Linked DNA regions of Daphnia pulex. The protein of the gene in region 1 purifies or fractionates together with the protein of each later gene. This does not show direct contact. Links are inferred from orthologs where the notes say so. Each region holds a gene or a part of one and is shown on either strand. Other genes may lie near its edges. The genes, in order: SUMO-conjugating enzyme UBC9-B and GTP-binding nuclear protein Ran.

Region 1 (3,401 bases):
TAATGTTGTCTAATTATCTATCCCTCATTCTTGCTACCGCACTGGCTACAACGATTGATGTTTGTTGTTGGTCGTCCTTTCTGTAGTCTGAAATCCCAATCTTAGATGTCTGTTACATTGGCTACAGGAATATAAACGTTTGTCACAAAATTTACATTTCAATTTTTTATTATCAGCTCATTTTAAATCAACATTTTGATCTTTAATTTATTGATAAAATATCATTATCATAAAGAAATTTACTTTCCACATACCTGCTCACTTTGGTGACAGTAATCTCCTTTCATGCAACGCCATATATTTGCATTCAAACGTGCGAATATGTGAAGGGAACACGAAGCTTTCAAGACGCGATTCCCCAGTACTCATTGGTTACGCCTAATAATAAAATTATAGTTAGTAATCTGAAATAAAACATTTACAATTATGCTCTATAATATGATTGACATTTCTCTGTAACAGCCAATACTGACGAGGAGTTATATTCAAAAGATTTTTTTAGATATGGACATTATTCTATTACTTGACAGTTAACTTTCTCAGAAGCATCTTCCTGAGCCCTTCAGGAGTCATTTGTTATTCAGTGCAATGGTAAAAATAAAGACAGACTCACAACAATATTACATAGCACACTACGTTTCCAAGCAAGAAATTAGTTTAAAAACTGGCACATGTAATAATCTTTGAACTATACAAAATAGTGATTCAAGCACTATTGTTTTGTGAAATCACCAATACATCATATCTAATGAGTATTTAACAGGATATTTTCCGCTTTGAGATACCCAAGTATGTTTCATTCCCTTCCACTTTGGCACTAACACATTCAACCCTTCTATGCGAGAAGTACCTAGCTGAAACAACCATAATAGGGAATAACAGATCTTCATTTAATAAATTTAGAGTTTGTGACCTAATATGACAAATTAACTGATGTTTTCATACCTTTCTGAACATTCTATATCAATTTTGTAGTTTCCCCATCCACAAAGTTAAACTGAACTGAGGCTTTAGGATTAGAGATTATATCATTCTTAATTCATTCGAGACATGGTTGTTTGCACCTTTTTTCGTTTTGTCTTCGTGTGATACCTTTGTGGTTTGTCACTAGTTGATTCACGTGTTCGAATATTCTGGAAGCATTACGTAAACGACGCTTGGCTTGTCTCGAATGTTGAACGATCAAAGCTACATGAGATGGAAGATATCAATGATTTTTTTTAACACTTGATTTTTCAATTTGGAATTTAAACAAAATACAAGAACTTAAGATGCATGCCTGTGTGACTCACTGCTCTGTTGTTTTTTGAACCATCTGGGCGCCATCTTTCATAGGCAGTGGCAGCATAGCCAGTTCATTTTTAATTTTAGTTGATGAAAACTAAAACTAAAAATGCTTATGCATGCTACAGCCAAAATGGTTTGATTTCATTGAAATCCATATTTTACATGCAAATGTTTCATCATTTATTCGTTTAAATCCCCAAATTAAATTTTAAATTGATTTGTAATTATTCGAATTACCTTAAGGCAACCCTGGCAATAATTGTACGAAACTACACAGCTAAATTATTTGGCAGCCGTTGAAAAAAGGTAACTATTATTTATTTAAGAGCTGTTGCATCTTGCTTTCTTCAGTCATATTCACACTTTCTTATTACATCACACTGAAATTTTTATTCTCTAGTGACCAATAATGTCCGGTATTGCTATTGCTCGACTTTCTGAGGAACGTAAAGGCTGGAGGAAAGACCATCCCTTTGTAAGTTGCTGGTTTGCCAAACGATAGTTGTTGGGTTGTGTGTGTTTGATTTGTGTATCTTTGCGTTGCCTTTAGGGTTTTGTTGCCAGGCCCACAAAGAATCCTGATGGAACCCTCAATTTGATGAACTGGGAATGTGCTATTCCAGGCAAGAAATCGGTAATGAGTTTTACACTTAAAGATCTTACTTCACATTGGTGTCAGATATACTTACCAAATTCACTGTTGTTTGAAGTAACAATATTAAGTGTAACTTGTGCATACATTTACAGACTCCCTGGGAAAATGGATTGTACAAAATCCGTATGATTTTTAAAGATGACTACCCCTCTTCTCCTCCAAAATGCAAATTTGAGCCCCCACTTTTCCATCCAAACGTCTATCCATCAGGTTGAATCAAATGGCTATTTGAGTGTTTTGTTTTAGCTAACCTTTTGGCATTTAATATCCAGGCACAGTTTGTCTATCATTGTTGGATGAAGAAAAGGACTGGAGACCTGCAATTACCATCAAACAGATTTTGCTTGGAATTCAAGATCTCCTAAATGACCCCAATATTAAGGATCCGGCTCAGGCAGAAGCTTATACTATCTACTGGTAATGATTTTTACACCAGTAGACAACTTGAAAGTTTGGATTGTAATATTTCATTTGATTATTTCTCCAGTCAAAATCGAATGGAGTACGAAAAACGTGTTAGAGCACAAGCCAAGGCTATGGCTGCCACCACTGATTTGCTGTCTTAATTTCCCAAGTAAATCCAGCTGTCAAGGAATAAGTTAACTTCTTTTTCTTTTCCACGTGCTCTATTTGTTTTTTAAAAATTCTTATTGTCTTCATTTCAATACTTACTTATCGTCCAGAAAACATACTCCGATCTGAAATAAAACGCTAAGTAAGGTGTAACACTTGTTGACCTTTTTTTTTTTCAATTACGTCACTTGACTATTTTATTTGGTTGTGACCTACTTTGTTGATATGCGTTTTATCTGGCGAATATCTGATTATGAAGACCAAACTTCTTTTAACTACTAGAATTCATCAAAGGCTCTCTTACCTGATTAAAATTTGAACTAAATGGGTTATCGATGTACAAAGTGCAAAACAAGGTATGTAAAACAACAACCGATTTATCACAATATTTTCAGCAGCGACAATATTACAGATACACTAAAATCAAAGAAAACATTCCGACTTGAAATCGATTAAAAATCTTAACCGAGAAGAATCGGAGATCGGGTATGGCATTTTCAAATGGCGAAATATACGAATCACGAAACAAGTAAAGCAAATTTGTCATCATGTAAAAAGACTGTGGAGGATGCAAGAATAAGGAGGCGCAATTTCACACAACGCTTTCTCTGTCATCACGGTGGAGGTCGGAAAAGTCCTCTCCCGTCTGCGGATTCCGACTAAAAGCATCACCTCCGTGACCCACGCCGAACAGATTGACTATCCACCGCTTGACGTTGGGCACGCTCTTGCTAACAGTGGGGGCGATGACCGTGTCTTTGCCTTCTTTACCGAGTCTCTCGCCCGATGTCGAATGTTCCAGTTGTTCACAAGAGTATCTCTTTTCAGACTCCATCAATCCACAGGCTGTGAGACTGGGCCGATGCCGAGTGCGATCGCGACTGAG
Region 2 (3,464 bases), on another chromosome or scaffold:
ATTATTACTATTATTCAGGCTGATTATTTCAAAACCATCTGCCAGAAATTATCAGAGATCACTGATGTGGATGCTGGACAAATAATTCTATATTTCAATGATCAACTACTGAATGACTATGACAGTCTCAAAACAGTGCCACTTGGGATATCAGACATCATTGGTATGTTACTTGTCATTCAAATTACAGTCCATTTCAGCGTCATAAATCGGTTTTAGCAACCCTGGCATGAAGTCAATTGGTTTTCCAATGTAAAAACTTTGGACGATTGGGTTTGGTATTAGCGAACGTTGTAACAGTGCTTTTTTTTAACAGATGCTTCAGTCTGCAAAGAAGGAGTTGTCGTCAGCTCCAACGAAACATTGTTGGAGTTAAAGGTTCAGAGTCAGAACCGGAATGCACAAGTGGTTATATCAATGCGCCCCGAAGACCCTATGGCAGTTTTGATGCAGAAGTATGCGGAAGCAACCGGGATTGATTTGTCCAAATTGAAGTTTAAATTTGACGGCGAAATGTTGGAAGAAGATGACACACCGTCTAGTCTGGAATTTGAAGGTGGCGAGTGTATCGATGTTTTCATTAGAGAGTAGTTTATTTGTTCACTACATTTTTCTTAACTTTACTACTTTGTATATTTTCCCTTGCGCAAATAAATTATGCACTAATAAACAAAAATTCGAAAGACTTTTGTATTATGACGCACAATGTATTTTCATACCTCGCAAATAAAAATTGGTTAAGATAGAAGGCAGAAAACACAGATGGAAAAATTTGTGGGAGGGTGTAGTGGCTTAAATCCTAATATGTTGATGTTACAAGTCTTCATCATCTTCTGGTAGTGCAATGTGTTGAGCTTCCTCCAATTCACCTTCAATTTGCTTCTGCCAATTAGGATCCATCTGCACCTCAGGTGGCTGCAGAGCAGGCATAGCAACAAACTCTAGGTTAGGGTCTCCAATTAGCTTACGTGCTAGCCAGAGGAAAGGCTTTTCAAAGTTGTAGTTTGACTTGGCACTAATGTCATAGTACTAAATGAAACCAAAATTTAGCAAATTGCATTTACAATTTAGTAGCACAATTAACATACCTGGAGATTCTTCTTTCTGTGAAAGACAATGGATTTGGCCTTGACTTTACGATCTTTAATGTCAACTTTGTTGCCACAAAGAACAATTGGGATGTTTTCACAAACTCGGACCAAATCTCTGTGCCAATTTGGAACATTTTTGTAGGTGACACGAGAGGTTACATCAAACATGATGATAGCACATTGGCCCTGCAAGATAAATGAAAGTCAGTCGAGACCATGTGAATACAAGTATGCTGACATTTACCTGAATGTAATATCCATCTCTGAGACCTCCAAACTTCTCCTGACCAGCAGTGTCCCACACGTTGAATCTGATGGCTCCACGGTTTGTATGGAAAACCAAAGGGTGAACTTCCACACCAAGTGTGGCCACATACTTCTTTTCAAATTCACCAGTCAAGTGACGCTTAACGAAAGTGGTTTTTCCGGTACCACCATCGCCAACCAAGACCAGCTTGAAAGTGGGCATGTCAGGTTCGGCAGCCATTCTGTTGTAAATCCTACAAATAATGAGAAAAGATAAGTGAATCGATCAGACTTGATTGCGTCATTCAACAAGAATTTACTGGAACTTAATCTAACGACAACAAAATATATTTTTCTAAAAATTTACACACTCGTGAACACTTACAAGTTAACTGTCAATGTTTAATGTCAAGAGAAAAAAGGGACTATTTCAAACAACTACCACAGAACAGTTTTACCGCCACTGACTAGCTTAGTGCGTTGTCTTTGATGGAGGAAGATGACTGTTAGAGGTTACAACTTGAAAAATGCAGAATAAAATAACTATGATGACTAAAATACTTTCCATGCCGAATTAAAAAGAGATTGGCAAAAGAAACATTACTGCTTACTTAAAACAACGAAAAGATGAAGGATGTGGACAATATTCGAAGATAAATCTAACTCACCGGCGGTTTTAAGCTTTAGGTTCACAATCGCGCGGTTCTAATACCAAACTGGTCTCTAAAAATTCTGGTAGCGTAAAGGCTGGCTGAAAATGGGTGGCTCTAAAAAATTCCTAGCGAGATGTTGCCAAATTTCACTAGGAGAAACGGCGGGAATATTTTCCTTTTCTTTGAAAAAAAGACGGTTGGAATTTGAAAATGGAAAGTAGGCTGTAGCAGGGCTGTAGCTCTCTATTTCTCTAAAGCCTGTCTAAAGCTTTGAATGTAATTTATTAATGTTGAATTTCATTCAGGCCTATTAACGGGATGATGTTTTTTAATTTTTTAATCAACAATATATTTATTTTGTGTGAGATTAAAATGCTAAATGTGTTAATAAAAAGGATAGTAGCACTTAATTCAAATGAAATTACCTTTTAAAAGAAGAAAGAAATTCCTATAAGCATCACTGTATATAAATTAATTAATAGGACATTAAAAGACGTGGTAGCAGCATGATGAATATTTCTGTCAAAGTTATGATTGCTGTTTTTTTTGTTAGTCATTATTTCATTGTATGTTATAAAATCAACCGTTCGAAGAAAAATAACAACGGAGGCGATCATTCATACAAGCATCTGTATTTATTGATACGATGAATTTCTGGGTTACAAAAAATAATGGCGAGTTTTGTTTTACAAACAAAATATCAATGAACTATTACAAAATAATTTTCGGAAGGTTTCATCACAGTGTATAAAATCTTGGGAGATAAAGCTATGACGAACATTTTGATGCGATACCGGTTCGTTTGTAACTCAACGCGAAACTGACTACTTGAACGAGGATCCAAACAAAAAACGCAAGACAAAGGGGAATATGGGGATAGGGGGTTTCAGTAGTCATCACATTCCACATTGGCGAACTAATCATGCACACATAAAAATAAACTAAAATAATCTGAAATAAACATGGAACTCCAAGTTTTATCATATATAGTTATCAAAGTTAGGAGATTTTTTTATTTTTTGCAGCTTCAATGAACTTTGCCATCAGACTCTTGACAGAAAATGGGTCCTCTTTTTTGGCTCTTGTTTCTTTTTTTGTGCTTAACCTTGATGATGGATTTTTTCCAGAGTGCCCAAAGTGATTACTAGTCCTCTTGTTTTTGCAGTTAACATTCTTTGATGCCTTAAGTTTGTTTGATGTGATGGAAGGCGATGGGGCAATCAGACGAATGGTGGCGAATAAATTACCTTCTTCATCCACGTCTATGTCAACTTTTGACTTTGGTACCGAAGATGTAGAAGGACGACTCAATGGGACTTTTGTAGTAGCTTCTTGTGGTGATTCCAAATGTGAAGGTGCGAAGGGAAGCAGTCGAATCTCGTCGGGATCAATGACACTGGATTCCTCGAATTCAGATTTCACCAACCAAACCGGCGAATTGTGTTGAAGTAATTCAACTTTCACAGGCATAACA

Evidence for each region.
Region 2: the proteins of SUMO-conjugating enzyme UBC9-B (region 1) and GTP-binding nuclear protein Ran purify together in Homo sapiens (affinity purification with mass spectrometry; 3 studies listed by BioGRID and IntAct, counting the BioPlex papers as one, with this or other methods). This does not show direct contact. The link is inferred for Daphnia pulex from reciprocal best matches to the Homo sapiens genes UBE2I and RAN.

What each region holds. Positions count from the first base shown.
Region 1 is NC_060018.1:632,455-635,855, forward strand, and holds SUMO-conjugating enzyme UBC9-B, read left to right. Parts: upstream 1-1,440; 5' UTR 1,441-1,593; exon of another isoform or gene 1,594-1,687; 5' UTR 1,688-1,696; coding exon 1,697-1,762; intron 1,763-1,837; coding exon 1,838-1,921; intron 1,922-2,034; coding exon 2,035-2,152; intron 2,153-2,214; coding exon 2,215-2,359; intron 2,360-2,429; coding exon 2,430-2,508; 3' UTR 2,509-2,668; downstream 2,669-3,401. Other genes in the region: receptor-type guanylate cyclase Gyc76C-like, read right to left, coding at 3,108-3,401. UniProt on the Homo sapiens protein: Accepts the ubiquitin-like proteins SUMO1, SUMO2, SUMO3, SUMO4 and SUMO1P1/SUMO5 from the UBLE1A-UBLE1B E1 complex and catalyzes their covalent attachment to other proteins with the help of an E3 ligase such as RANBP2, CBX4 and ZNF451.
Region 2 is NC_060020.1:1,358,770-1,362,233, reverse strand, and holds GTP-binding nuclear protein Ran, read right to left. Parts: upstream 2,159-3,464; 5' UTR 2,006-2,158; exon of another isoform or gene 1,949-2,005; intron 1,821-1,948; exon of another isoform or gene 1,723-1,820; intron 1,592-1,722; 5' UTR 1,579-1,591; coding exon 1,336-1,578; intron 1,278-1,335; coding exon 1,089-1,277; intron 1,030-1,088; coding exon 814-1,029; 3' UTR 677-813; downstream 1-676. Other genes in the region: NFATC2-interacting protein-like, read left to right, coding at 19-163, 317-591; uncharacterized protein LOC124192239, read right to left, coding at 2,990-3,464. UniProt on the Homo sapiens protein: GTPase involved in nucleocytoplasmic transport, participating both to the import and the export from the nucleus of proteins and RNAs. Switches between a cytoplasmic GDP- and a nuclear GTP-bound state by nucleotide exchange and GTP hydrolysis.